2 linked regions of the Lepisosteus oculatus genome follow. The protein of the gene in region 1 purifies or fractionates together with the protein of each later gene. This does not show direct contact. Links are inferred from orthologs where the notes say so. Each region holds a gene or a part of one and is shown on either strand. Other genes may lie near its edges. The genes, in order: ctdspl2b and pdik1l.

Region 1 (16,001 bases):
CATAGCAAGACCTAAAAAAACACCATCTAAAATATTACATTTTAACTAGAACCAGTTGGAATCATATGCATGCCCAGATTAGCAAAAAGAAAACAATGACATATCCCACTGTTTTTCATAAAGCCTTGCAGTCAGACTTAGTGTCTGAAAATAAGCATTCCTAAAGAATACAATTCCCATTTCTCAGGGTTTTCCTCCACTGCCAAGAAATCCGTCCAGACTTGTCAAACTATTGTCAGCCTGCCAATTTCACAACTACTGTATATCACCTATTGACAGGGAAGGATGCACTACACAGGCATACTCCTAATTAATGTGTCCAGTACTAATTGAAATCATCTCCTTTAAACAGCAATGTCTCACATTAAGTCTACATGAAGCAAAAGCACTGTTCTTTCTCTGCTGGCTTTACGGGTATGATTGCGAAGTAGAAACGTTTCTAAAGCTTCTGCCTCTGTTTGTTAATGGACAGGGCGATTCATTTGTGCTGCCTACTGAACTGCAGTGCACATTCTGCTGCAATTTTAACAAGAAAATGTTATAAAAAGGTAGTGCAGATGTCCTTCTCTTCCGAAAAACAGCCGTCTCAAACAGATAAACTATCTGAACCTATATACCGGTGCAGTGAGAGGTTTTCAAAATGTTTAGAAAAGAAGGACTTTTTGGGAAGAAAAACTGTTATGAATTCCAAAACATACATCTGTACCTAGAAGAGATCCTTGAGAATCACTTACACTACACCTCATTTTTTCATAAAGCAAGTATATACCAGGTTAAAAAACAGACATTTTATAACAGACTTCACATATGAAAGGCATCCTAAGACTCTGAAATGGATTTTCTAGTAGATCTCGTCCAAGTAAAATAAAAAGAAAACTGCTGCTTTCTCTAAAATTCATATAATACACTGTGGGAATACATAACTGATGAAATGTGCTCACCGCATTGAAAATTTGTTTCAATCTACCATTATTAGTTGCATACATTAACTTGACTTTTTGCTACATAGTTTTATACTAGCTATACCTATAATCTGGTCCACTTCAAGTAAAGAACCAGGCTTGTAAATTGAAATCAAAGGTTTTGTGCTTCCAAATCACAGAATAAATATTTGAAAGCATCTTGATGTTCTGATACACTGCCTATTCTCAGTTTCTTGGCGCAAGGAACATCTTTATTGAATCCAGCCCAGCAAAACACCAGATTACAAGGAGCATAGCAAAGTCAGCATGCATTGTTTTATCTACAACAATCCTAAAGCAAAACCAGATGAAACACCTCCAGTGTAGACGAGGCCTACACACGTGTTAAATTGCCAGTCAAACCCATGTCCAGCCAATACATTACAAAGCTCCCGATACAGAATCATTATCCCCTCCATTACCTCACTAACTCAGCCGTAGGTCTTATTAATTGATTACCGAACAGAATTCTTCTCTGCCGCCTGGCCATCAAGCAACAACTCCTACAGTGACTAGAGACTAAGAAAGTTTGGTTTTAAATTGCTTAATTCATGACAGAAAAATAATATGTAACAGAGAGTGCACATCAAGCTACCACTGTAGATACCTGCTTTCTACTACAGTCTCAAACAGAAATCACAGACGCCTGTTAGACGTACAATGGAGCGGTATACATCTCAGACCTGATTACATGTTGGCTGGAGACTGCGATATCCTTATGGCTTTGTCACACTCAGGAATGACAGCCCAAGGCACAGTGCTGCCAGCTGAAGTATGAACAATGGAGAAGCCAGGGGTGATGGGGGAATCAACGAGTCAGGAGCACTGACAGGCCTGGCCAGGACAAGGGAATAGCCCTGCCCACGACTCGGCTGATGCTGCATCCCGATCTGAAACACTGGAATAAAATGCAGCCAGAAACAACGCAAGCATCTGTCATCTTTCAGCTCATGCAGTAAGCATGCTCCAGATCTGGCTGCAGCAGAAACAGCTTTGTTGCTTCTCGAGTCTCCCTGCCTATTTTTACCAACACAAAGCATGACTCATCTGCAGTTTTCAGCGCAGCGCTGCCAAAAGCACGAGCAACATCTTTGCCACTTTCGTTTTCATTAAAAGAAAAAAAAAGGCATGAAAAGTTTAAGTATTCTACATAAATTGAACCAGACAGTCAGTTCATCTTTCACTAGTAACTGTACACTTGATGTTTTTTAAATGAAAAACAGATGTTATAAATGCACAGAAGACATCCACCCCCCAATATCATTCCATCCAAGGAATAGCACTACTTCCACGTCTTCTGCATTTCTCCCCTGAGGCTAATTAAGGAGAAATGTTACTAAAAACGAGTGAGGATGCCACTTTCCCCCTACTTCCCCTTCATACTATATACATTTATGTTAGTGCACAACAATGATACTAACAGTTAAAGGAGATTCAAGATATGTGAAGAAAAATTTCCTCTTAAGACTAAAGCTATTTGCATGTATTTGTAGTTGTAGTTGCATTATGAGTTGCACTGTCACAAAATCACTCTAAAATGCTTCAGAATTCACACAAATACATTTCACTCCAGTTGCATATATTACAAATCATTTAACCATCTAGGAGGCAGGTTCAGAAGAGTAAGGAAAAATGAATAAGGCATTCAGCTGAAACAGCTGCCTTTACTCCCCGAATAAAACAAAACCATGTCCTTCAAGCCAGTAAAAAAAACAACCTCTGTCCTATTCCCATGTGCAGTAAAGTTGAAAGCTCAGTAATGTTCATGTGCAGCTAAGCTCTGGTACAAAGATGACGGGACATGTTCCTACCTTACAGCCTGCAGAGCAAGCTGCCAGCTAACCAGGCCACCACAGCAGGGCAGACCCAGGCAGAGCTGGCACAGCCCGCACACTGGCATCACACCAGCACACGGCAACACCACACACTGGCATCACACCAGCACACGGCAACACCACACACTGGCATCACACCAGCACACGGCAACACCACACACTGGCATCACACCAGCACACGGCAACACCACACACTGGCATCACACCAGCACACGGCAACACCACCACTGGCATCACACCAGCACACGGCAACACCACCACTGGCATCACACCAGCACACGGCAACACCACCACTGGCATCACACCAGCACACGGCAACACCACCACTGGCATCACACCAGCACACGGCAACACCACACACTGGCATCACACCAGCACACGGCAACACCGCCACTGGCATCACACCAGCACACGGCAACACCACCAATGGCATCTCCATGCTTACCCACACAGGACACCCTATCCTACACATGGCACAGTTGCTGAATCGCCAAAAAGAAAAGAGCTGGATAATCTGAGAATGGTTTTGTTTTTTTTAAGACAAGGGATAATCTAATGAAACCAATTCATCAGAACAACTTGGTCATTCAAATGCCCACTGTGCTTCAGTAAAGGTTTGAGGTCCCCCCAAGAAACTCCCAAAATATGGGTACAGTTAGTGTAACAATCGAATCAGTTAAATTGTTAGTGTTAATGAAGGACTCCGAGAATGTGCTTTTGTGTACTAAGCTAATGCGATTTGAGATTATTTCTAAAATACTTTACACCTGCTTTTTTATATGGAAACATTGTTGCTCAATCACCTGTAGTTCAGCAATTTGCATCTCCAGCAATTTAACTTTCAGATCTGCTTTTCAGGCACCACTTAAACACATCCCTGGGAACCGGCATTATGCTGAAGAAAGGTCAACACCACTAAAACACAGGGGGACCTTCACTCAGAATTGCTGGCTATCTATTGAGTCTGTTCAGAGAATTAGTCACATCTCTATCAACAGTGTATATGCCACAGCAGCTATTAATGTCAGTGGGTTCACCAACAGGAGAAATCTTGTTATGCGAAACTGCAGCAAGCTGTTTTCTAAGCAAGCACAACAAAATGTTTGTTCGTCCCGCTGCAGTGGTATTTATATTCCTATTATTAATTTGTTCCTTTATAATGCCTGCATACATTTTCAGGCATTATGAAAAAATGAGAAATTTTCAAAGCAAACCACGGGAAGAATCCCACTTTTTTTTAAACGGGGACGAAGATTAAACTACCCAGCTGTAAAACTCTCGTGTGACAGAGCGCGTGTGAGCTACAAAACGACTGGCTCCAACATGCCCAGGCAAAAATCACAGAATTGTGCCGGCAACTTTGACCAATCTCAGAGCACATGGAAGGACACTGAACTCTTGACGCGTCAAAAAGGCTCAGTCAAACCCTCCATCCCCACCGTCCCCCAGTCTCAGAAGAGACTTGATGTATCCCTACTGCACGACTGTAGCAGAGGAATGTCACTGTGACGCAGGCGGGGGATCATTACCGAATGCAGCAGGCTTGAAAGCCGCGCTTTACCTTACAGAAGTCCACATTCCACTTCATTGCTGAGCGAGACAAGCCAGGCTACAAAACCTTCACCTTGAAAGGCACCATGCAAACGTACACTGTTGTACGACTTAGGTAACGGCAGTTCTAGTTCATTCACCGGTTGTGACATGTTCCGATCAGGTACGGACACTTCAAAGGCAATCGGCTCTCTCCTTAAGATAGAAAAACTACGAACATGTCCTACAGCTGCTGCTGGCGACTCCTGGGAGGAAAATGACAGGCTATAAATCTCTCTGCAAGTGTGAAGTGTTAGTAGTACAAAATAATTCGGAAAGAAAGGATATCGCTAGATGACATGACACTCAACGCGCTGCGCGATTTCCAACACTTGCGAAAACCTTTCCAAATAAAACTTAAAATACTGTTTTTAGGATTTGTAACACGGGGATTTAAAAATACTGGTAACTTTAAAATGCCTACCGCACATGACAGGAAAAAAAATTAGAAACGTGTATCAGGGTTTAGAGAAATTGTAAAAGGACGCCGTTAAAAAAAAGCACTCAAGACGCTTATTTCCTCTGTCCACGGCGACTGGAAATACTCAGACTCGTTAGAAAAACTGCCGAAGTGCACCGACGGTCAAGTAAATCGTATTCTCCCACAATGTGCAGGAGCTTGGTAAAGCTACAAAACAGTATTAAACTTTCCCTCGCGATGCATTTTTTTTAAAGAAAAAATAAAGTTAACGTGCTCTCCTGTCGCAAACGCAGCCCCGCTGGTAAACACGAGCGCGAGCTGAGACGGCGCCGAGCGGAGCGAGAAGGAGCACCGCGCCGCGCGCGAGCAACGCCCCCCGAGCCGCAGCTCGAGGAATGAAACCTGTGAATCCGAGCCCAGGCAACTCCAGTGACAACAAACAAAGCCGCACTTTCTCCCGGCTGCAGAGCTTCAAACTTCAGCCGTGCACTGGCGAGAGCACTACATCGCAAACACATGGGCGTTTTTTCGGAGAGTAAACGGTTTTTTTTTTTCGGGGGGTTTATTGTGTTGGTAAAAGGCACACGCGAGAACCCCCCCTCCCTGCCAGAGAAGTGGGCGGGAAAGGGGAAGGGGAAATCGGTAGGGCTTCATAATCAAGCCCGGGGCGGGAGATGGGAGACGAGGCCAAGGCCTAACACAAAAAAAGCGCTCCGTTTTCCCACTCACCCGAGCAAGCGTTTAAATTGAGGCATGACTTTGGCTCCAGCGCTGCCGTAGCGCCACTACCTGTTTCTCTTTCAAGACCGACTCCCCCAAACAAAGTCTTCAACTACACATTAATGAGTAATTTAGCCCCCAGGTAGAAGCAACTTGTTCGCAGCAAGGCAAAAAAAAATACATAAAAAGGCACCACTTAAGGTAGATGAACTAAAGTGGAAGGAAACAACCAGGTAGCGGTGCTGATGCAATTTATAAGAAAGCAAAACAAAGGGGAAAAAAATACCTCGGTCTGCCTAGTTGATCTGTGCTGCCCGGAAAATGTCATGTTTGAAATCCCCCGGTAGGCAGAAGAAGCCGAGATTTAAAAACACAGCGCCTCGGTGTGCAGCACGACAGAAGAGTCAATATTTATTTACAGACACACAAACCCCCCGGAAAGCCGCGGGAATAGCGCCCCACTCACTTGCCAGGTGTCGGAGTGTGTCGTTCCCGACGTGGCTGTCTGTGCCTGGCTGCTACTCGGCGCAGCGAGAGCTGCCTGCTGCCTGTGGCCGTCTCGGACTCGCTGTGTTTAGGGACAATCTCTCCGCTCCTGCGCTGCTCCTCCAGTCGCCATTTCCCGCCTCCTTACCGACCCGCAGCACCGACACTCTCAATGGCAGAGACCCGGATGAGCCGTGTCCCCGCTGCGCAGGCGCAAGCACAGGCCGACCTGCGCTCCTCCCCTCCCCGCCACTTTGAACACAAACAAACTCCGCAGCGCCACCCAGCGAGCCCGTCGTCACAGGTGGCGACACGCGTGTGCTGCCGCCGTCTCCACAGCGCCGTGCCCTTCTGCTGCTTCATATCGCTCATTAAATCAGCATTTTGTTGTCATAATTTTATCATCTTTTTATTTGTATAGATCCCGGGGTATTTAATCCCTTTCAACTGGACTTTCTGCTCGTTTTAAAAAAAAACCCGAAAAGACACTGTACAATCAAGCAAAAAACAAAACCAACAACAAATGACGGGTATATACAATTTTAAACATCAAATTAGAATTACAGGCTACAGAATTACAGGCAGGAACGTGAGTCTTCGGACACGATTAAAAAGTGCCGATTGACGTGTAAGATTTAATATTCGCTGGGAGATCACCCCCCATTCCTGGAGGAGAATTGAACTGGGAACTGAAAGAATCCCACAGCCCGGAGGCACGTACACGACTCGTAGGTGTATGGGGACACAGGCAGGGACGCATTGCTCAGACCCTTCAAGGAAGCACTGCCGTGTCCCGAACATCCTCCCGAAATCCCACAGAGACCCCGCGCATAGCGATCTGTGCTCATGCCTTTGAGTTCTGGTTGAATTCGACATCGAAACGCTGAGATGTGAATAACGCATCAGCTTGTTGAGAACACGTTCGGATACACCTGCCGGCGCTATATTACATTCATCAAGCCGGTAAAGGAGCGCTAGCTTTTCTGTATCACACGTGTAAAGTTAACGAAGGTTACAAAATGACACCTTCGCAAAGCCGCGAACGCGAGCTTCAGATGCTAAATTACGCTGGTCAAATCCCCTCCGAAGATTCCTCACTAGACAACGTGGGCTCCACGGCTAAGAAAATTATGTTTATTCCCCCATGAGAAGCCCCACGTTTTTTGACAAGTTATTCGTGAACAAGAAAAGCTGCCGTGGCTCGGCGGCATAGGAATTTGGCACTCCGATGGGAACAATCGTGCAGTAATCACTAGAGTAAAAATGCGTTACTACAGCTCGCTCGGAATATCTGCATTTCTGACCTGGACCAGCATGAGGTCAGCTGGTTAATATCCGTTAATATCCAATTGTCGGGTTAAACGCGACACCGAGTTTCTTGCTAAAAACGAAAAATCCGACATTTCCTCCAGTAGAGCACCAGTATAATCACTTTCCCGTGTAGTGAATTGGTTTAAAATTCAAATGATTTGTAAGGGATGAATGTGTACCTCCGCGATCTCATGCTAATTCCGTCTGTCTCGTGTGTGAAATGGCACTGGTCACCTTTGAGAGAACATGCTTGTATGTTAAGATGACACACATGAAGCTGGCCGTCTCCGGCACGCCGAGGGAGCTCCGCGCGGAGGGATGCCTTTCCTCCGGAGAGGCAGACGGACTCGCCGGGCTTTTAATCGTCATTAGCATCGAAGTGCGCGGCAGGTAAAAGACAATAGAACAGCACGAGCAGGCTCGCGCGGGTCCTGCCAGAATCGACCGGGCTGTCTCACGCGAGGGATGTAAGGCGGAGCACCGCCACCCGGAGCGTGGGGTTTGTCCCCCACTCGCACCTTTAAAAAGCAACGGCTTATGACTGTGACGAGTTATTACTGCCGCGCCTATCACTGTGCGGCCGCACGGGGGAGACGCACCTTGAGTATTACCTAGCCGGATAAACAGCTGTCAAATTAAATTTGCATTAAAGCAGTATGTGGCGCCCCAGGAATTCTCACAACTGGGCCTCAGATATTTCAAAGCCTAAAGTAAATATGCAAATGTAAAAATGCAGTGCCACACGCTGGCCCCTCCTCAGCACACACACATGCAGCTGCCTTCAAAAAGCCGCGTTCACTGATGCTGTGATAGGAAGGCAGCGGTCGAAGAGTTTCCGATCAGCCACCCCAGTGCAGACTGAACAAAGACGCGTCCACTCGTAGCTCAGTAAAACGCGCCCGGAGGTCTTGCTATTAACGTTCAATAACGAAGATGTGCCGTTTTCCCTGGGCACAGACCGGGGCTAGAAAAGACCGCTTGTTCCAGGCGACACACAGCCCTGTATTTAGTGCAGTGATACGGATGACTCACAGTGCATTCGTGTTCGTGCTTGCGTTTTATTCCGTTTGTGCGTGGGGTGAGGGCTATGACTGTGTACGTGGGGACACTATGCAAGATAGTCATTCCGGACCTACAGACAGTAGTGAGACTTCCCCACAGTGTGAAGGACGCTGCGTTCTAAACTACCTTATCTTAAATTTGACTAATTTAAATAATGACAAAATTTGTTTCGGGGGCCATTTTCAATCTGTACGGCATTTCGGTGCACTGGTGGGTGGATGACTGTCAACTTTGTATGTCCCCCAAATATAACGTGCGTGGTTCAATAGCTAGGACGTTCCTCGTTGGTCCACAAAAGTAGAGAGAACGCGTTTGCCCTTTTTAAATACAATGTGGATTTTTTTTCCAGTGGGCAGGGTCCCCTTTGGCCTAGACATCTCACTCAGGCCCGTTAGTGTCTCGGAGTTGTTTGTATGATCATTTGTAGTTCCCAAAAAGAACACGCCGTCACATTCTCGCTGACACCTTACTTTCGCGTTCCGAAAATCTGCGATTACCTGGACGAGGCAGCTCGGTATCAGAAAGCTGTTAATTCCAGAAACTAATAGGATGAGAATGGATAAGTAGGAACGCGAGGGCAGTACCTTACAGCCCCAAACGAAAGCCAGATCTCTCTGAGACACCACAAAATATAGCCGATCAGAATGATTATTTTTTGTTCCTAAACGTGTTTGCTGCCCTTCCATTTTAAAAACAGCGGCTGCGGCTCCGTATTTTGAAAGGAAACAGAACTGCGCTCTTGCGGTGATATGCATGCATTTAAAAAAAAAAAACATTCGTGTGTTTCAATAAGAAAAGCAGATGAGAAGTTTCCACCTGGGACTGTGACGGCGCTGCTCGACGGCTTTCTGGCGAAGCCGCTAGCTGAAGCGCGCGCATGTGTTCACAATGGCAAAAACAGGCACTGGGGTGGAAATTCGCCGGGATTTTGAAAACATGCAAATGGTTGTCATGGCGATGTATTATGAAAGATACAGCTGGTGGTATCAGGGATGAGTGCTTCGGAACCCAAGTCGTGTATTAGAGAGCTTAAAGATATTTGGTGGAATGTCTTACTCTTTTGTGTACACATTCCTTAACAAAAAGAAAAATATATCTTTCTGTACACTGTCGCCGGGTAATCCTTCGTTATCTTTCTGACTCCCCTGCTACGAACTGAAGGGATCAATTTAAAACCAAAGACATCCATAACCGGCTTGGTCACAATATTAACGGGATTTAAAATAACAAACGGCGCAAAAAATGGAGACTTCGGTCTCCAGTCGAGGCGTTATTTAGTGTTTTGTTTCTTGTCTTATCTTATGACGAAGGCAGTTCATATGCTATAGATGGCAGAGAAATAAAAAGAGCACTTATCTGTTACTAACGTCTTGTCCGGGTTTATGGGGACACTGGCGGTTCTGGGAGATTGCACCTGTAGCAGAAGTCCTAGTACCTTAACATCGCTTAGGTTACATAATCCATTACGAAGTATCCTGCAGATCGGACACACGATAGTATCTACACCTATGACAATTACTAACTACTAATATGGGTGATGCTTTTTTCCCCCAAAGCGACTCACATACAGTATGTTCCCATGTATACAACTGAATATTTTACTGGAGTAATAAGGGTGAATTGGGCACAACAGCATTTTCCCACCTGGAAACCCGAAGAAGGCTCCACAGCTGAAACGTTGTGTTTCCTTTCTTCCCTTTTCAGCATAGAATAAACCTTTACCTGTTCCTTTTCCCACCTGGGATTTGAACCCACCACCTTCCACCCATGAGTCCAGAGCCCCACTCGCTGCTCCCCAACCCACACCCTGTGGATTTTAGAGAGGATGAGGACACAAGAGCACAGGGAACCGCCGATCCACAAACGTCTCGTATTACCCTTAATTATCGTGGACCGGGGGCTGTCACTCAGCTGGAGAACGTTGTGGACCTATTTGCAAAAAAACAAACTTCAATCCACCACTATAAGCATTGTGTGTCAGGGGCTGCCGCCTCCTCCTATTGTGCACGTCTCTGAGCTACATACTCTACACACCTCTCTCTTCCCTTGGGAAGCGCCTTCTAGAATTTTTAAATGTTTCAGGAAATAAAAATAATTGGATTGAACTCCCACGCCCACTGTTACATCCATGGAACCTGGATATCGGAATAACGGACCGAGCCCCCAAGTGCTGTGTGCTTGGGTCCAGAGTCTTTTCACACAGATGTGGCTGTGCTGCACTGCTGTGCAGGCACCCAAGTCCTTCTGCTGGGGAGACGGAGCAGAGCACTGCCAGCAATGCCTCAGCTCCGCGCAGCTAACTGCAACGGTTCTTGGGGTCTCCACCCTTGCCACTCCTGCCCTGCCAGTTCGTCCCCTCGATGCCTGGGCGCGAACCCGAGTCTCCAGCGTTACGCAACAGGGAACTTGCCAGCTAAGCTAAAGGAGACCTTCCTCAGCCCAGGCGGCTGAGATCCCCCTTATACACAGGGGTGCATTGGTTACATAAACATATCAAGAAAACATCAACTGCAATAAATACTATATGAGGTCCAATTTTAATCATTTAGCATGGTGAAACATGACTACTAAATCCGAGTATTTTAAGCATACAGCATTTGTACCATGAAGTGTGAAGATGTATATATGAAGGCTGTATAGGTTTTATTTTTATCTACCGCCAATTTTCCTTTCCATCAGGTTAGAGGGTTAATGTTGTCTCATTAAGGAGCTGAGCTTTCCTCGCCCCACCTTTTCCTATAGACGGCACTAGAGCCTGCATGAAAACATTCAAGGAAAGATCAAAAAGTCGTGCTTGTCCTCTCTCCAACATTGCAGCATCATCGTAAAGATTGGTCACAAAGACGGCTGTAGACCATAATTCAGTTGAGTAACCATTGTAACAGGACGGCTGGACTTTAATATGCAGTGAATCTCCAGATAAGGTCTTCATGGGCAAAGCCAAAAGGATCCTTTGAATACTGTAAGTATCTGATGAGGTCATGATGCATGAAAGATATCATCCCACCCCAGGAGATGTCCAATAGACCACCAAGATCAACATTTGAGCAATCTACTGCCGTAACTGGGTACAACACCCAAACCTACTTTTAATATAATCATCTTTGCATACAATTGTAGACAACCGTTCTGTTTTTAAACAATCATTCTCTGGTCTGCAGTGGTGGCAGCCAGCCCTGGTCCTGGTATTCTTCTGGGCGGTCTGTTTGCCCCAGCCATCTTAATTGCTGGCTATTTGATTTCAGTTTGCTGCTGGAGGTATGTGCTTGAATTGGCTTTGAGCTTGTGGCTAAAAAGAACAATTTCTGAGTTTCAGAACATCCCTCTCTCGGGCCTGTACTCTAAAATGTAACCAGTGGGTCTTCTGCAGCCAAGAACAAGCTCATAGTGGGAGCATGTGACACACTGTCATTTGCACCTGGCTGTTCATCACAAACTAAATTGCCAATCGAGAGTCCTGGACAGCAAAAATTGAAGACACTTGAGTCAAGGAAAGAGTGCAGGGTGGCATGTACGCAAAAGCAGCTGGAAAGAATGCACCATTTCTGAAGCCAAAGGGTGCAGAAACAGGTCATTGAGAGTCTAAGAATGCAGATCAATTAAAGGCTCCAATTAGGACCAGTGATTACCAGCTGCACGGGAACATAAACCAGCAGATACAGGAGTCCCCCCGGGCTGGGAACACTGGTCTACAGAAATGCTTCGCTCACTCTACCTGGGAGAGACCATCTTTAGGAGGAAAGAACTGCAGCAGCCCGAGGAGCCTACACATTCTTTCAACATTTATCTGCCCCCAACCCCCACCCCTTTTCAGAGAGCATGAAGGGAAAACAAAGAAAGAGGCTGTTGGGTTTTAGTTTATTGTGCATTCACATCATTTTCCAAGATGTTAAAAATTTCAGAATCTGTTAAACACCCAGCTCCCGGTGTGATTTCATTAAAAAAAAACACCAGACAACATTCGATATGCAGAACTCGCATACAAAATGTCAACTACACCTCCGTAACATTCCCATTTTAGTACTTAAACCCATGATCGGAATAACTGAAGGGACAAATATAGTCCACAAAGTTAAGGATTCAAATGGCTAAAAACCTTAAAATTGAAACCATTCCTGAACTACACTCACTTATATGTGGCTAAGCAGCTTCAGTATATAAAAGTGACGGAATCTATCCCAGAGTTCTGCACTGGTGTTAAATCAAGTACAGTCTCGCACAGACGTGCAAAGAGGCAATGTCTCATGAGGACTTCTCTATCCGAATATCAAACCGATTTCAAATCATGCTACAGTATCCGTGCATGGGATTTCAGCCCATGGTTGGTCACAACAAAACAACAACAACAAAAAAAAAGCAACAAACGACGGCCACACAATCTGTGAGCAGGGCCTTCCCTCCTGCCCAGTGTGTGCAGGTCACAGGTCACTACCGCAGCCAAGGCAATCCATCAGGCTCTGGGTAAAAAAAACACCCGGCGCCTTTCCATCCTTTTACTTTTACCAGCAAGAGATGACTTCAGATTCCAAAATTAAAACTCTGGCTTTGAAAGAGAAAAAACAAGACTTAAAAAAAAAAACCATTACAACAGTGACATTCTTCTTGCCAAGAACTGACCCACCAAAAAAACCAGGAAACCCCAGGCCAGTGTCAAGGATCTGTCCCACTTCCTCTCGATTACAGAAACCACTGACCGTCCCTCCAGCCCCAACTACTTTCCTATAGCACTCAGCAGCAGAAAGCGGAACAGCTGGGAATTTATTAAACAGAAAAAAAACCTTCATTTCCTGTAAAAAATAAACATTACAAATGTACAGCTGCATTTTTTTTTTACACAGACCCTTCATTTTCCAATGCAATACATTCTAATTATATTAAGAAAATCTGAAATTAGAAATAATTTACACTTACAAGTATGTATACTTTAGTATAACAGCGGAGGACAGAGAAGTCATTAACCCTAAAAAGTACAAAATATACACAAGAATATACAGAAAAATGTTCTGAAATGTACCCTATACTGTACCATTGCGCCACATCAATCCAATTCTACAGCCCTACAGGACACCTCAAGGAAAAAAAGGACTATATAGCTGCCACCTCCTCAATTTAAGAGACAGCCCACCAGAAATCAGACCTAAAGCACCAGTGAAATAGAAGGCCAAGAAATTATCAACTTCTTTTTTTTGCCTGTCTCTTTTACTCCAGAGTCTTAAATCTTCCTGAAAAGATGATTCCAGTCACAGGCTTATAGGATATCATTGGCTTGGTGTCGTTTTCCATAATCTATAGCACGGTCTCCTTGAAGTTCTCGATCTTCATCATCTGTAAAACAAGAGAAGAAAGAAAACCCCTCTTTAAGAAAAAGGAAAAACTGCACATGGATGGCAAATTGGGAAACGGGCAGCGATGCCTTGAGGTGCCAGTGTTGGACTTCCCCCAGATTCATCTGGGCAGGAAGTTGGTATGTTGCCTACCACTGCAATGGAAGCCAGCAACCAATCAGGAAGCTCCTTCAGAAAACAGTACTTGGAGGTTGCAGGTCATAAGGTCACAGTAGTCTACAGCATCACAGAAAGGGCACTGATAGGACCATGTTTTAGAATCCCCTAATAACTCAATGGTTAATAGGATCTCTCCCTTCTGTTGCATTGTCCACGCCACAAGACCATATGTAGGACACCTTGCTGTTGCATTTTCTCTCTCCCAACTTACTGTCTTTTGTAATATAAAGCCTAAGCAAAAAAATAGAGAAATCTGGAAACCCAGATACTTTTCCAGCTGAGCTGCTGGAAAGATGATGTTGAGCTCATTATTTTCTGAACCGTGGTCAGCACAAGGCGTCAACGCTAGACCCTTATTTCCTCAGCGACATACATACATACATCAGCTCACCTTCACGCGGTGCTTTTAGAACCTTTGCAGCACAGAAACGGCAGAACATAGAGCAGGAAATGGATAACGCAGAGCAACAGCACGCAGAGGGGGAGCTCCACGTCAGAAAGCCGGTTCTCATGAAATGGCAGCACTCCCACAAAAAAAAGCAACCCAGCTGAATATCGAAATACCGAAACAGGATGAACTCTACTGCAGGTGACGTGACTATGTCATAAGACACACGCAACATGCATGTAATACTGACAAACAATCACCGTGAAGACGGGTAGGCTACTCTGGCCCTGCAGTGCCACGTTTCCTTCTGGTTTTCATCCCGTCCCAGATCTCACCTTCACTGAACCACTGAAGTGGATAAGAAGTCAAACCAGTTTTGCTTTCTCCGGGCCCCAGTGAGAAGCCCAGAGACCCCGCAGGAGCCTGGCACTGTCGAAGCCCGGAGTTGCCCACGCCTGTGTCTGGAGCCTCGTGGGGGTGCACAGGGGAAGGGGGGGGACAGCACAGGGTGGCGCAGTCCAGGACAGCCGCTCGGGCATGCGCACAGCTGGATGAAGCATGCAGGCGCTGGGGGGGGGCGTCACGACACCTTGAGTTATCTGAGAACGAGAGACTCGCCCACACCTCGGCCCACCTGCGCTGCCGGCTCGTCCCGCGGGACAAGGGCGAAGCCCTGTGGCTTCCAGCCCTGCCGCGAACAGAGCTCCAAATTCAAGCTTGACGGACCTTCACACAGAAATATTTGCTAGCCATTGCAGTCCGGCAACTGCTTATGCAAGACTTGGGTCTCGAAAAGCTGCATCGACACTACTTTAGAAAATGCCAATAGATGCTCACAGTATACCCTTTTCACTGAATGGCTCAGGTCATTCCAGGATTTTTTAGATTCAAACTCCTGCTGCAGACCAGTGTGGTCTACAAATCAGAACACAGCTGATGCAGGTAGCTGGCAAGTCTGAAACAGATCTTTATTTTCCGTTAGACTTGGTAGTGATGATGGGGGTGGGGCTGGGGCTGGGGGGGGTGCCAGATAACTCAAGGGGGGAATGAGGGAGACGCAGTGGCATGGAAACACAGCCCAAGCTCACCTTGGACGTCTTCTTCCCCACCATCACCATCCTCTTCCTCATTGTAGGCCAGCTCGGCCTGCTTGTCCGCCTCATACTCACCCACGTTACCGTCGTCCCCGTTGTAGTCCGCAAGCTTAGAGCCATGCTGCGGATCTACAGGGGACTCGTTCTCATCAAAGAACCGGCCTGTGGGGGCAGAGAAGTCCGCATCAGGAGGAGAGGGATAGAGAGAGAGCGGGGGGAGAGAGGAGAGAGGAGAGAGAGAAACGGGGAAGATAGCAGGAAAGAGGAGGAATGCGTGCAGAAAGGCAGGAGAAGAGGAGTCAAGTCGCACTGGGGTCCCTGCCCCCCCAACTCCACACGTGCCTCCACACTGCCTGCCCATCCCACACAGGGGTACGTGGGTCAGCAAGCCAGAAGGGGGGGGGCAAACGCCCACAATTACAAGGAAAGCCCGACGACTCCCTCTGTCAAACACGACAACACGACAACAACCATTTCGTTGGCAAAAAACGGAAGTGATAATAGCCGCCACCTGCTTTTCATTTTGCTTTCTAGGGATACAACAGTTCCTTTCTTAGGAATTCATAGCTTCTTCCCTACCGCTACCAGGAATGCTAGAGCACTCTGGTCGGATTGCCGTGTAAGCCGT
Region 2 (16,026 bases), on another chromosome or scaffold:
ATTTCAATTCTGTAATTGAAAGATTCATACAGAAACCGTCATTATCAACCTGGAATGGGTGGGAATGTGGCAATCAGCTTTCCTTCTGGAAAAACGTGGAGGAATGAGGCCAGAATGCCAGAAGTGGACAGAACAGTTAATGCCATTGTCCTAGCTGTTCTGTGCCATTAGTCATTCTGTGTATACCTCCTAAGAGCTGACATGCTGTGCTCTCCTTCACGAGAAGAGGAAATGAGAGAAGTGAGAATAGTTTAGGATGAAAAAAGGGGTGGTGGCAAAGTTCATTATGGAAAGGAGCTGGGTACCAAGTTTTCACTTTTGTATATTGCCAAACAGCCTCCAGGGGATTGCTGCATGTTTTACTGTCTGTGTTTTCCTAGGTTTGTTTTCAAAGGGCCTTATCCCAGATTGAGTTTATAATAAAGAGCTTGTCTTGGATGGCTGGCTCCCAGTGACTAGGCACCCATCAAGGATAGTTTAGACTTTTTTAAATCAAGGAGAAGCCAAAGACTTCCCATCTGTTTAGTAAGTATTTCTGAACCATTCACAACTTTTAAGTCATTATTTATTTGCTGCCATGCCTCAACAACTTCTCCTTATGTTTGACCTGTTGTCTTGTCCCACAGTTTGCCTTTTCCACCACATGATGCAATATGCTTGCTCGTGATTCAGAGCGGCATCCATTTCAATCTGTTTTTTTACCTTTGATCTACAATACCGTTCTCTACTTGAGAGCATCAAAAAGTCCTTTTATCTATGCTAAAACCAATGCAATGTTACTCTGCACTAATCATGTGTAAGATGCATTTATCTTTTAATATAAAGTATTTGTTCTGTATTTTTGTATATTTTAAGATTGCCGAAGATCCTTATGACTGCAATGATGTTTTGTTTCTCAGGAATCGTGAAACGTAAACTCAGGGATATCTAAAATTGGCTTCTGTGGTCTTGGGAGTTTCGGTAGGAATAGAAAGGGTGGATAAGTGATTGTCATACAGCTCCTAAACCTACCACACAACAGGCCAGTAGCTTCCGACTGGCTTTCTGCTAGCTTTCAGTGGTTCAGTGGAAAATGGTAGACACGTTGAAACTGCCAAACAGCACCAGTAAGATGGAGTCCATATCTGAATCTCTGAAAAGCATAGCCATTCCTGAAGCAAATTAAGTTTGCAGACATAAACCAAGTTAACAGCCCTCTTAATTGGATTTGTGCGACAAACACATTTTGATCAAATGCACAGGTTTTGACAAACATTTGATTTTAAATAAGAGAGCAGTTTTAGCTCTTACATGGTGAAACATTAACACCAGACAATTTCTGGATGTTTTATTCTGACACTGCGTGTAGAATATCACGTCTTACTTTGCTCTAATAACTAGGGGACTGGGGACTGCAATTCTGGAGTGTAACGTTTAACAAAAAAGCATGGCCTCCCATGTTTTTTTATGTAGCTTAAGGATGAACTTTGACCTAACCCATGCCATAAACATACTCTGTCTTGAGCACAGCTGTTCTGATTTGTGTATATTTATATTTTGAATGTAGTGTACTGGAAACAGGAATATATTTAAAAATTCCAGTTATTGAAAAGACTAAAAAGATCCATTAATAACTTAACATTTGCTTGGAAAAGCAGGCAAATCTCCACCAGATAAGAATCGCTGCTGTGTTCTGGGAGCTAGGAGCTGTTGTCAGTAGTAAGATGTGTTTTCTGACATCCACCCTTTCCAATAGTCTCCTACACACAATGGAATCTCATAATTGTTCGGTTTGTATTTTGTGTTTTTGTAAAAAGTTAGGGACAAAAGAACCTGCTTGTATGCCCAAAGATGTGAAAAATCTTTTTTTCAAAATCATATCTTGGTTGTGCATAGAAAAGTGTTGTTATTGTTTTTTATTTTTTAAGAAGAGCAAGTGCAACAGTCAGCAGTCCTCAGTACAGCACACTTGAAAGCAGTGGCTAAAGGACTTGATTATTACAACAGGCTAAATAAGGTTGTAGGTGTATTTTTGTGATTTTGGACATATTTAAAAAGAGCTGTGTTTATTAGTTGAAGCACGTATTGATTTGTCTAAGAGTTAAGATCTGTCATCTATTTGTACAGATGGTCCTTTTGTAGATATTCCTTGACAGTAGTATTAAGCTGTTTACAGGCACAAATTTGCTTAACCAGCCATGACAGTGCTTATTTCTTTGTTACAAATCAAATATTGCTGAATAGAAACAACACAATAAGTGCTAAATCTGACTTTAACTCATTATTTTAATTGGTGAAACTGATGCTCAAATCAGCTGATATAATCTTTAACTATGTATGTTTCTTTTCCTTATTTCCAAAATGCATCTTGGATACACAAGGTGTCTGGGGTTATGGTCAAAATGGTAATTTATTTTTATCTGAATGTTGTGGAGTTCCAGTTTCTTGAAAGATTACCAGGATACTTCCTTGGAAGAATTTAAGATGATCCTAGTTAAAACCAGATTTAAAATTCTTATTTTAAAATTAAACATATAAAAAATACTGAACTCCCAAATTTGAAATCATTTCAGCTTTTGATGGGAAATACTCACTCTGACCACCAGGGAGCAGTATTTGTCTGTTTGCATAGTGTTCTTCAGTTTATCACCTTTTATAAGTTATAGCACTGAGACATTTGAAATGAATGCTTAATAACCTTTTCTTTTTTTAATATAAAATATATAATCTTTCGATATGCCTCCATATAATCATGATGCATTAAGTCCAGTGGATCTGTTGCACTCTGCTCTTGTATATGATTATTGTACAGATACTACTGTTCTATTGTATGATGTTTTTCCTCTTTTGTAATTCAGTCCTTAGGGGGATTAGAGTAGGTGCAGTTTTCCCACAGCGGGACGGAAGGGCAGCATAATTATGACTTGATGACATATTATTGAGAGTTCAGTGGAGACAGAACTAGAAAATATGGCATAGGCTCATCCTGCAAGGTATGAAGATTTTCCTAGCTTGGAAGGCCTTCTCAAATATAAATATGACATTTACAGTAAGATTGTAGTAAGTCTTGTATCAGACAAACTGTGCAGCGTCTTACCAGTGATTTAGGATGATTTAGGAATGTACTAAACACCATGCTTCCCGATTCCTCCCGTTGTGTCCTAGTGTTGTGTTGTGGTGGTGGGTTTGTTTTTTTATTATAAATGAAAACAAGATGAAAAACCTTGTAAGCAATCTATACAGGTCTACCTCAGGATATTGTAGTGTGAATAGGGACAAAGGCAATTCGCCTCCATTGTAGTTACCCTTTGGGTTTTGCTGCACTGGGGCAACCAGAACATTGTCCTTTTTTCCCGTGTAGAAAGTTTTGTTTTGTTTTTGTTTTTTGTGATGTCTGACATTTCCAGAATTGTGCAGCGCGGGTGTCGATGTGTGAATCTTCTTTCCTCCCTCGCGCTGGTGTCCACACACGCTGTGCCAGCTGTGCCAGCGCCGGTGCATGCAGTTCTCTGCCCAGATGGGTGGCCGTTGGTGTCGAGTTAGTCCTGCGTGTGTGTTCTGAGATGACAGAAGGCAGCCAGGTGTGTTCACTGCTGCTTGTGTGGCCAAATGCTGCCAGAGGCCTTCATCCTTTAGGTCTTGCTTGGTCAAGGGTACCCCCCGGGTCCCAGAATGGTTATGGTATTGGTTAGCATAGCTTTGTTCTCCTTCCTCATACTGATCATGAGTTATATTGACAGCAAGGAGGGGTGGTAGTGTTATCACTGCTAGCTTGCATCTCCATGTTCGCAGGCCTGACTCCAGAACTGGCTACCCTCCTGCATGCTCTCTCTGTCTTTTTGTGCTCCTTTTCTGTGCACTCAGATACCTTCCCAACTCCCAGCTGCTTGGCAGAGTGGGACTGATTGGCTGCTTTAAACTGTCCCTTCCAGTATCTGGTTCTTGCTTCCCTTGAGGAAGGGAAGTGAGCACCCCATCTCATTACTAATGACATTACCTGACAGTGGCTATGGAACAACTCTGTCCTAGGGTTTGGAATCAGAGTAGTTCCTTGTGGGGGAAAAAAAGAAAATCTTTCTGGACCTGAAAGGAGACTCGGGCTTCTTCCTCTCATTAAGGTTTTGTGGCTCCATCTCTTGTCAGATAAGAATGGTTTATACCCCAGGGGATTGTTCTACTGGCCAGGTCCAAATCAGGATTGTAGGGAATAAGGTGTTCAGTGGGTGGTATGTTTTTTCTTATGAGTTAGTCTTTATAAAATATAAAGTTTATCCTGTTCTACATTTTTCTACAGCCTCAGAACACTAATGAAAATACTACCCTCTAGAAACCAAAGGACCCACGACAGCTAGGAAGATCTCATTATTCTTTTTTATCACTGGAAAAATCAGCTTAATGTTGAAAGTAAAGGTTGCGGACCCACAGTCAAAGACTTCATTTAGTGCACATGAAGGGAGTCTTCCTTACATTTCCCTTACTACTCGCCTGCGGCAGTCTGTGCTATAGCCATTTTGGGCTCTGGGACGACAGCTGGGGAAGTGTTCCTCGTGCTGAAGCATCAGTAGGGCTTGTGTGTTTCTCTTCTGGGCAGGGGAAGAGGGCAGATTGCCATTGTTTACAGAAGGAGAGGAGGGAAAAGGCTGAAGCTTGAATACAAAAGGGTTTTTGCTCCAATAGACATATTGGGTGGGGTAAGGACAGTTCTGCTGTATTTCCTGCTGCAATTGATTGTGTGGCTTTTAAGACTCCTGTAAAAGAAGAAGGAAACCAAATCGCCGAATGCAGTGTCTGTGGTGACGTGCAATATGTCTGCCATGGTATTTGAGTTACCGTTGTGCTTTCAGATCCTCTACTTGCAGGGAAATAGATAACAGCCACACTCTCCTTTATACCCTGCTATCTGAACACCATACACACCAAAGTGTCATCTTCATTTTAAACAATACTCAGGGTTGCATATTAAGCACAACTTAGGAACACGTATGACTTGCACAGAGGCCCTTGTGTACGTGTAACTGTGCTTTTATTGTGTGTCTTTTGTTTTGTTTTTAAATTAGACATTTCATTCAGAGGTGTGCGTTCTATTGGTGTAAATGCCTAATATAAATCAAAAGATTGTATATAAAGTGACCGAAGAATGTAGTTATGTTTACTGCTATAAACCAAAGGTTTATGTGTAAAACTCCAGCTTTGGGGTGTTTTTCCTTTTAAACTCCTTTATAATTACCCACGTGTCAACCAAACCAGGTGGGTTTTGGGATTGTTTGGGTTTTTTATTCTTTTTTTTAAGTATTTGAAGCATGCATTACAAACAGAACTGTGATCACAGTGTTTCGTAGTGTTTAAAAACATCTACAACTTGCTTTCTAGTTAATAAAAGTATGTCCATATAAGAACCACATGTGTCTTTTGCCTTCATTCTAAAAGATCCAGGATATGTACTTTCTGTTTGGTGCTTCTTACTCTGGGTTTTTTTTTTATCTGCATGGGAAATTCAGAAATGGCCCTAGACTATCCTCAGAAAACCCCGCAATCTTTTCACCCAGGAAAGAAGAGAGTAAGCTCTTGTTTAATTCTCTGTAAACGTTAAAGAGTCCACCCCCTCCCCAGTAGAAGAGACTGAAAGAAGATTCACAGAGAATATTGCAGCATTCTGTTTAAACTGGCTTTCAGAAAGCTTAATTTAAAAAGTATTAAGAAAATAAATGCAACACAGTAAAAAATAAAGCTGTATACAGCATGGGTGCAAAGCAGTAATGTGAGCATCTTGGTGGTGTGTCTCCCATGTCTACAGAACATAAGTGCGCTTATCAAGTTACGGTCTGGGAATTGTTCGAATTTCAGGGATGCACTATAAAGGTGGAAGAAGGAAGCAGAGGAGAGCGGAGAGATCAACAGAGCTGTCTAAACAGACAGCTGGGGCAGGAGGGACACTGAGACTGCAGGAGGAGCGGGAGAGGAGGGCGGTGGTGGAGAGAGGGGGAGAGAGAGGACGACAAAAGGGGGAAATGAGACGAAAGGGAGGCCAGACTCAATCAAGAGGTGATTGAAGATGATGGCGGTGCCTCCAGAAGAAGATGGCTGTGAGACAGTAACAGCGGGAGGAAGGTCTGAGCATCATCAGTACAAAAAGTATACAAAACTTTTTGGGAAGAGATAAGAGGACCATGGCTTAAAGAAGTTAACATTGTTGTCTGTGACGCCAACCAGAAGCATAATTTTAACAAGCCTTGCCAAACCAGCTGGCTAGCTAAAGTATCAAGGATATTAATATGTACCTCTCCTCTCATTATTTAACCCAGAAAGTGGCTTAATACTCATGTAATAGTTCAGTGTGTGTTTCTGTCACAATTCACTTAAAATGTATGTTATTTGTCTATTGCAATGTAAAAAATCTGTATACCGTGCAAAAAAAGAACTTGTTTTTATTCTATGTTGTGTGTTTTTAGAAAAAAATCATACCGATTTTGAATATTGATTTGATGTTTTTGGCTTCAGTTTGATTAATTGATTATTTATGATTGACCGGGCGATACACTCGAGTGAATTTGTAGCATCAGCACTAAATCACTTTGTGACTGAGAGAATTGGTTGGGCACAGGTGATGGGAGAGGGCTTAATGTGTTGAATGTCAGGCCTGGTGAAAATCAAGAAAGAAAAACACAGAAAGAAACCAATATGTCCAACTTACCACTTAATGACACTTTCACATTCTTATTGTATAGGAGGCTGGACTATGTTAGTCCAGTGTTGCTCACCGACAGCCATTTCTAACCTGGCAAGATGTTACAGTCATATTCAGTCTGGCAATTACTGGTCACCTGACATGGTGACCAAAGAGCCACACCACTCCCCCAAGACTGATGTGAAGGTTGAAATATTGTAGCCTGGCCAGCAGTGTCTCTGGAGAACTCCACTTGGAGTGTCTCAAAGAAGCCTGACTGCACAGTACTGAGTGCTGGACATCCCCTGCTGCCCTTGCTGTGGGTCCTTCCTGACTTGAGAACCTCCCATTAGGGAAGCAGGGACAGCGCACACCCTCACACAACAAAAACTCTCGCAGCCCTCTCCAGGGAGTCTCCAACCAGTCCACGTTATGCACTACACATCGAGACTGACAAGTTAAATATCCATCCGCTTTCTTTATAGAGCAGTCGGTTCAGAATGAAAACTCTAGATGTTCCAAAAGCTTTATGCGCAGTTTCATCGGGGTAAGAGAGATGCAACGTCGGTTCTCTTGCGAAATGAGAATGTGACAGTTATGACGTGGATGCCCAGCTCACCAGACTGGAGAAGTGGGAACCACCGGTTTAAATATTGTAATATTGTAAATCCAGGCTCTTTGACCCTTGACCCCTGTACTTCAACCCTTCCTGAAAGGAGAACAGGTTGGGATTGGATCTCTGGTGGGGTGTTTCTTCATTACTTTTTTGTTATTTTAAACATATGGAACGCTGATAGATTTTATGTATAGATTTAAATTGACGATTGAAGATTAGTCCCACTAAACATTTTGTGAACTTCCATGAACCCCTTATTTAAGACACCAGATCTGAAATATATGTGTCACAGTATGACCATTCCAGTGTACATGAGCTGTTTCTAACATTATCAGGTAAGCCATTTTAGATTGCCTGGGAGGTTTCATATGTTTGTTTCTGTTAAGATTTCCCATTAAAAACCTAATGTGAACTTTCTGTTTTTGGAGCGGCCCCTTTAAGAGAATATTTCATAGGGTAAAAAATAAGGGGGGCGGTTGCGTCTTTCTCGTTAAACGTTACTTAATAGGTGTAAAGCAAGCAGCGTTTCTGTATTCCACTTCCTTTTTTATGTGAGGTTTATTGTTATCTGTCTATTTAAATGAGGGACGAACCCCATTTTCTTCAGGATACAAACACTTCTTTCTCCTTTGTCACCCTTTTAAAATAAGCCTACCCGTCCCTGAGCCACTTGGAGCGAACCAATCCATACTTCTTTAGAGGGCTTTCAGCGCAATTGTTTTCGCGGAAAGTATATCGTGTCAGATCTTAGACAAGGATAGACCGTGTTATTTAGAAAAAAATATTAATTATTACACTATTTAAATGCGGATCTATGTTTTGGGAAACGATCCTTGAGCAAGGGAGTTCTTGAATGACTCCCCTCCGGATTTATCGGAGTGAGCGATGCCCGGCGCGTGCACCGAATTTGAAAATGGTTTCTTATACGAGCTCTGGCCGTGGCTGCGGGGTGACGTCGCCCCCTGCTATTAAATATACCATCGTAGTGTCTCTTCTTCTCGTGTATCAGCTTGTCATTTGTATAGTTCAATAAAAAAAAATAATATTTGGTCAAATATTTTGTCTTGGAAGGGGAGGGAGAGGGAGGGAGGAGAGATTTGTTTTGGTTGGGTTGGGTGATGGAGGAAAAAGGGGGTGGGGAACCCTAATCTGCTCCCAGATGTTAAATTGTCCTGAAACGTTTCTCTCGTTTTGAGAGGTCACTCGTCAGAAACAATCCTTCCAAAACACTGGGGAGTGGTTTTTTTGTTTGTTTGCTTTTCCGTGTGTTTCAGAGCTACCGTCTCCTTCCCGTTAGGGTGAGCGGCGGCGGGCGGGCGGGCGCGCGCGCCGGGACCGGGAAGCTCCTCCGAAGCAGGTCCGCGAGCTCCTCTCGCTCACTCGCGCAGCTCGCTGGCACGGGAAGCAGCGCGAGAGCGAGCGCGAGCGCGGCGGTCTATAATGGCTGCCAGCAAAATCCACAGCGCGGGGGAGAAGGCAGCAAATGATCCCGTGAAAGAGAAAAACGTTTCGATCAGGTAACATCCTTTGGGGGGGGTTTATTTTTATTTGATCTGATGATTTGCCTTCCTCGTCGTGTGGCAGGTAGATGAAGACGTGCGGGTTATCCCCCACTGGTGTAAGAAAAGCTGTTGTCCAGGGACACGGGGGACAATAAGCAGTGGTTTCGGATCCATTAAGTGTTACACACAGTATTGTGTGCGAAAGAGCTGAGGGGAATTGTAGTAACCTTCGTATTTTTTCAACTTTCTAGATTAACGTAGTGTTCGCACGCAATCCAGGTCCTCGGTCTCCTTATTTGCGGTCTTTGTGAAGAGGGGCTCGCTTCAGTGTGAAGGAACATTGTTAGCAACACGCCTGTCGTCCCATTGTGTTTGTGTATTGCACTATAAAATATTCAGGAGCCACGTTTTGCTGCTCACGGATGGTGGCGGGCCTTATTTTGTCGTGCGGGCGAAACCTTGTTTTCTTTCTCGTTGGATCCCAAATGCGCCGGCATCGCCTGGTGTTGTTGTGTCCATGTTCTGAACAGGGGTGCTAGGAGCAGGACTTGCACGGCTCACAACCACGCTCACGTCCCTGGCTCTGCTCAGGGTGATCGTGCGGCATGCTCTATTCTAGCCTGTGGTTTTAGTTGACAGTCTTGCCACCTGCGCGGCTGAGCCCGATCTGGTTCTGGTTCGGGGTGCACACACCGCAGGCGGGAGCTGCAGTCCACTTCGTGGGCTTACAATTCACTCTTCTGTTAATGAGCGGTCCATTACCGACAATACGACTGAGCTGGGTTTAATTTCAGAAACCTGACGTGATGGCTTATGCCTAGCTTACACACTAATATGACAGGGGCCATTGAGGTCGAACATGAGCTGAAGACAGTCTAGCCTCGCCGTGTAGGATACCCTTACCACTGTTCACGAGTAAAGACATTGTGCAGTCCAGTGTCCAGTCGGTGTTTTAGACGGGTAGCCCCAATGATAGGTAAACAGTGACAACAGTAACTTCACCACGTTGCACTCGAGTTTTCTAGAGTTTGGTGCCTAAAAAGGACGTTGAGGCGCGAAACAAAACCGCAGTAACGAGAGTTTCCAGTATTGACGTTTGTCACAAGCGGTGTGTTTTGAAATACGAGACGTCCCAGTGCATTACCACACGGTTGTGCTTCGTAGCTTTATTAGGAGCGGGATCTTCCCGGAACACTCCTGTGTGCGGTACAGAAAGTGAAAGCACTGGCTCGCCCTTTGCAAACTGGACCTAGTTGAATAGAAAACAATAGAAGGGTTGCTTTCTGACGTTTGAAAGGAAATCGCAGAGTGTTTGCGAATGGCTGCTTTCCCTTGCATTTTTCAGTCGTGTTTTAAAAATTAAGTGCAGGGCACTGAGCTACTCCGTTTCAAAATCGAGCAAGGGCAGAAGCTGCATGCTCTTTAAGAGACGTTTACAACATCTTTGTGAAGGTTTTAAAGCTTTTAGAATAGTTTCCCCCTTTTAAAACAAAGCACGAGAGAAACCTGGACACAAGTCAGCATGTTAGTGTAGGATGGTGATAATGCTCAGCCTTTGGATAGGAGTATTACAGAAAATACCGTTAGTTCAGATTGTGAGTTGTTTTGTCTATATATATATACCTCAGATGCTAAAAGAATTGCATTTTTTAACAGCATTACTGTTGGTTGACTAAATTCATGGGATTAGTCTTTATTCTCACTTGCCACTGAGAGCAGCCTTTGGTTCTATACAAGGTCCCATTTATTTATCTCGAGGCCCAGAACGTTACAGCTGAGACAGGAAGAGACCGAATTGCATGCCAAGAGAGACTGCTCTGCTCAAGTTGCAATCAAGGAAGTAGAGGCTGTGTACATGTGGTTATTTTGTACATCAGGTGCTTTTTGCAACATCACAGCCTGTGGACTGAAATGACAGTCCAGAATGTATCCACGTGCAAAGGTGAAAGCAAATTGTAGAGCTCTGTGTCAGACATAGGTTGAGAAAAGGAATTAACAATCAATAGCATTTTCTCTTAAATCTAATTTTACCATGGTATGAGACAAGCTGTTATAACGTACAAAGCTGGCTTAATTTTTTATTGTTATCCTGTACTAAGTAGCACTATGGGCCTAATATTAATATAATGAGATATGTTTTTCAGCACACTTTTAACAAGAATTGCTGTTAAATATTTTTTCTGGTTGCTTAAGATGAGGAAAAGGATTCTGATTTCACAGTAGGATACACCACAATAATGCTTTTGCATTAATTCTTATATCTGAGCAGTTTTCTGCAAACTGTGTTGTAACGTGGAACTGTCAGACTCTACAACAGAAGCAAAATAGTGGAGGGGAAAATACTGCAAAAATTTGATTAACCCAAGTGAACCCAAGAATAAACCCAAATTATATATTAAAAGGTTTAGTGGTTTAGGGAGTTAAAAGGTGTATTTGGGATGATACCGTAGTTTAAAATATTATTGCTGAAATCATCAAACTTGTTTTATGTACATTCAAATATTTAATGAATTCTCTGCTGCCCCTTTCATACTGCCAACTATGAAAGTACTGTCGATTTGGGAGAGCACTCTCCAGCTCTCTGTCTGCTTTGTTTCAGCGAGTGGGTGGCGAGAGAATGGTGAGCAGCCAGCCCAAGTATGAGCTCATCCAGGAGGTGGGGCGTGGCAGCTATGGTGTGGTGTACGAGGCACTGGTGAGGAAGACCGGAGCTCGTGTGGCCGTCAAGAAGATCCGGTGCCACGCTCCTGAAAACGTGGAGCTGGCCTTGCGGGAGTTCTGGGCTCTGAGCAGCATCCAGAGCCAGCATCCCAACGTCATCCACCTGGAAGAGTGCATCCTGCAGCGAGACAGCCTGGTGCAGAGGATGACGCATGGCTCCAGCTCCTCGCTCTACCTGCAGGTATGCGGCTGTTGGTTTTGTTGAAGATCGCCAGTTTCGTTATTGTCTCACGTTTGCCGGCCCCAGTTTAGTTTAAGCCTGACTGTGTTTCCGCATGGGTGCCGTGGCACTGAAAACAGAATCATGCTTCCCCCACTGGGATGTGGGTGTGTGGAGTTTGTTGGAGACACCTGTGGGTTGCTGTATGACACCCACTGCTGCAATTTCCTGGGTTTATTCGGGGTCATGTCCTGCAAACATGCAAGGTTGCCGTTAACCTTGCATACAGCAAATGTGAAGATGTGACTCTTGATTTTTCCAGTGTAATTGTTGGAGAATACTGATATTTAATATTAATTGACTATTAAGAGATTTCCTGATCACCAAATCATTGAGGACCATAAGCACTGCAATAATTTATTGTTTATATATATATATTATTTAGATAAATTATTTATTTGATTTAATACAGGTATCTATTTAATAGGCAGGTTTTAGAATCTCACTGAAAGTGTTTTTTTCTTCTCCCTGGATGATGGTGTCAACTAAGCCAATTTTAATGATTTTATAAATTTTACCTTACCTTTCAATAGTATTAAATATTATTTATTAAATATATAAGTTGTATATAATCTGAGTCTTTTAATTAAGGGACATGTTTAATTGTATTAACATTTTACTGTGGAATTTCTTTACAGTATGGGTGTTTTTTTTCCTGAGAATTTTGTGACCTGGACTATTTTTTTGTGTAGCACCTATACTGTACATGGTAAATTGCAGGTCGGAGCTTGTAGGTACTCACAAGCTACCGGATGTTTCTAAGTCAGCAGTTAGGATGCATCTCATTCTTAGCTCTGTCCTTGTTCTTTAGTTTTGTCTGCACTTCATTGATAGAGCACATTCCTCTCCAGTCCAGTGTTCACATGATCGGTGCTAACCACAACATTTACAGAGGAATAGTAGCAGATTTTGGAAAGGGTTTTATTTTTTCATTTTTTTCTTGCATTCAAAAGGTCTCTTTCTCCTTGGGCTATTATGTGACGGGTGTTAGTCTGTGTGTCTCTTTGTGCTTTGGCTGGTCACCACTGTGCCCTTAATGTGGAGAAAGGTTGGGCACACTTGTAGGTCCAGCTGTTGGGTCAGGGCTAAATGCGAGTCAGGTGGTGCCCTTTCAGGAGTTACTGCAACGTCCTCCTGTTTAAACTGTTTTATCCTGTGCATGTAGCGTCTCCGAAGTAATAAATACATTGACATCTCGGTGAGAGTGCCTTTTAATTCTTGATTATGAAATCACAGCAGTGCATGAAAGCATTTTAAATAGCTTGTTAGTCACTTCAGTGCTTTGCCATGGCAGGAATTTTGGCAGCCATCCCAGGTTTCTTGCAGAAATGTTTCTGTTGGTGTTTTATGTAACTGCCTCAATTGTTTTCTAATGCAGACAATGCATTTCATTTTGTTATAGGCTTTTCTGTATAAAATGGATGATTTCCCCTCTTTTATCAATCCAAAATATTGAAATCTGCGTGTCCTTCATGTGACCTTTTTCTCTACAAATTGCATAGAATCTACTGTATTTAGCACTTGTAAGAAATAGAAAGCGTTATTTGCACTTCATCCTTTTTTGTGTGAAAGTTGCACAGCGCACTTTCATTTTTTCTGGAGGACTGTCATTGCTTTTTTAGCACAATGACCATGTTTTGTTCTGAGGCTGAGATTCCTTGCTGATATCAATCTCTGCAATCCTACTATAGCACTGCAAGCTATCACCTGCAATAAAATGAAATTCTTATATCTGTACAGGTAGTGTTGACAAATAACATCACTTTTTTATTTTCAAGCTGGTGGAAACATCATTGAAAGGAGAGATTGCCTTTGATCCACGTAGCGCCTACTACCTGTGGTTTGTCATGGACTTCTGCGACGGGGGAGACATGAACGCCTACCTGCTTTCACGGAAGCCCAGCCGTAAGACCAACACCAGCTTCATGCTCCAGCTGGGCAGTGCCCTGGCCTTTCTGCACAAGAACCAGATCATCCACAGGGACCTCAAGCCAGACAACATCCTTATCTCGCAGAGCAGGACTCCCACAGGCGTGCCTGAGCCTACGCTCAAAGTGGCAGACTTTGGCTTGAGCAAGGTGTGCTCATCTTCTGGGCTTAACCCCGAAGAGCCCGCTAATGTCAACAAGTGTTTCCTGTCTACAGCGTGTGGAACGGACTTTTATATGGCCCCGGAGGTGTGGGAGGGTCACTACACAGCCAAAGCAGACATCTTTGCTCTGGGTATCATCATCTGGGCCATGCTGGAGCGCATCACCTTCATTGATACGGAGACCAAGAAAGAACTGTTGGGGAGCTATGTCAAGCAGGGCTCAGAGATTGTGCCTGTTGGGGAAGCTCTCTTAGAAAACCCCAAAATGGAACTCCACATCCCCGTCAAGAAGAAAAGCATGAATGCCAGCATGAAACAACTCATTAAGGAGATGCTGGCCGCCAATCCACAGGAGCGGCCTGACGCCTTTGAGCTGGAGTTGAGATTAGTAAAAATCGCCTGCAAAGAATGTAACTGGGATACGTGATATTAAAGGAAACTTCAAGACGCACACTAAATAACTTTTCTGTGACTCCTGAACGACTTGTAGACAATGGAGCATCAGACCTTTTCAAGAGAACAACACTATTCTAGGGTTGCCGTCTGAAACCAGGGATTCAATTTAATGAAAACGAAGTTAACAAAACTGTAGAAATAACTGCAGTGGTGGTCCATAAAAAATTGAATTTTCAAGGTTAAGTTCATGGTGGTTATTTGAATTTGCTTGGTGCATGTCTTACTAAGAGCCACAAAGAACTTTGCTGCTGCCCTGCCTCTGAGGGCTTTCCCAACAGTGCTTGCTAAGGGTATAGTTTTTAAATGCTGCTAGTTCAAAGGAAAAACCACAGGGAACAAGATTCATTTGGATATTTTGAAATGCTGTTTGGACATTCAACTAGCTTCAGAAGGTTGCATATTGTTGCCTACACAGATGTGAACAGTGTTAAATTATTTTCTTCCTGCCAGACACAGCAGGCAAGCCAATCATTCTTACCAATAGCAACATATACCACAACTGCTAGTTGGCAATTAGAAAATCCTTTTCATAGTTTAAAAGATAATCTAGCAAGTTCCTATAATACACAGTAAATTATATACATGGTCAGGTTTTACAGATTAGAACATCTTAGTATTTGTGTGAAAATGCTATCTACAATTGAGAAATTAAGAGATTGTGATGCAATCAACATTTTCTGCCCAGGAATGCCCTTTCTGTGGGGAAAATTAATTCATTCCATATTTGTGCGCAAAGGGTTGCAAAATGTTGTCCATTGCATAAATATAAGAAGATGATATTCAGGCTGACGTTATTTGAAATAGTTTTTAATAAGGCTCAATGAATACGTGTTGAACAAATTAAAAAATATATACACAAATTGGATTCTCTATTGGGATTTTAAAGATCAGTATGATGCTTTTTTTAGCTCTGTTTTTGCTGAGCTGCTGATCTTGGCTAGGAGCCCTCAGGGAGTGCTGCCCTGGCTGTTGTACTGCCACAGGCTTTGCAGGATGAGTAGTAAGTAGTTAGTGAGTGAGCAGGTGGGCACAATCTGTGGCCTTTCTCCTGGCATCTTAGTAACATCAAGGACAGGTTTCTCACACAGCAGAGGAGAAAATAAATGACCTCCTTATTTAATTCTCGGTTACTCTTTATCTATTCTCTTAACATTCAATGCCCAATCCCATTTTTAAATCCTGATTTCAGTCCCTGCAAATCTATTGCCAGAAATGTGGGATTAGCATGCTGGCCTAAATATTGTACATCTTTCCTTCAGTCTTAATTTTTGTCTGCTCTAGTGCTGGTTCTGTACATGGGTCAGGTATGTGTAGGGTCAGAACAGGTTAATCAACATAATATGCTCATATTAAATGGGGAAAAAAATTGTTGGCCTCTGATAATTATAAAGTATGACAGACTCTAAATGTAGATCAGTCTTCATTCAGAATGGCTAGTGAGTCTGTATGTCTTGGAGTTTTCAAAATGCCTGCAGACATTCTTGTCATTTTGAAGTTATAGTAAACTTAAACATGCTGATGGTCAGCCAGGGAAGTGCCAATAAGGGCTAATACAGGGCAGGATCTGACATGAGGTTACACCAGTTCTTGTCCATTGTGGCTCTTTGCAAATCATCTGAGTCTTCTCAGAACCACTGTGGTGTATATTACACTTAGACATCTGTTTTATCTGCAATAGAAGGTTTTGATGCTATCTGCATATCATTTCTGCAGACTAGTCTGCTGGTTTTGAGCTTGCTAAAAGAAGAAAATAAGGTTTAACTTGGATATTCTTGA

What was found.
Region 2: the proteins of ctdspl2b (region 1) and pdik1l purify together in Homo sapiens (affinity purification with mass spectrometry; 4 studies listed by BioGRID and IntAct, counting the BioPlex papers as one, with this or other methods). This does not show direct contact. The link is inferred for Lepisosteus oculatus from reciprocal best matches to the Homo sapiens genes CTDSPL2 and PDIK1L.

Annotation. Positions count from the first base shown.
Region 1 is NC_090700.1:47,150,565-47,166,565, reverse strand, and holds the start of ctdspl2b (CTD small phosphatase-like protein 2-B), read right to left. Parts: upstream 6,273-16,001; 5' UTR 5,999-6,272; exon of another isoform or gene 5,995-5,998; intron 5,923-5,994; exon of another isoform or gene 5,815-5,922; intron 1-5,814. Other genes in the region: protein GOLM2, read right to left, coding at 13,636-13,712, 15,368-15,535. UniProt on the Homo sapiens protein: Probable phosphatase.
Region 2 is NC_090706.1:5,714,144-5,730,169, forward strand, and holds the start of pdik1l (serine/threonine-protein kinase pdik1l), read left to right. Parts: upstream 1-8,359; 5' UTR 8,360-8,776; intron 8,777-11,360; 5' UTR 11,361-11,378; coding exon 11,379-11,663; intron 11,664-13,480; coding exon 13,481-14,221; 3' UTR 14,222-16,026.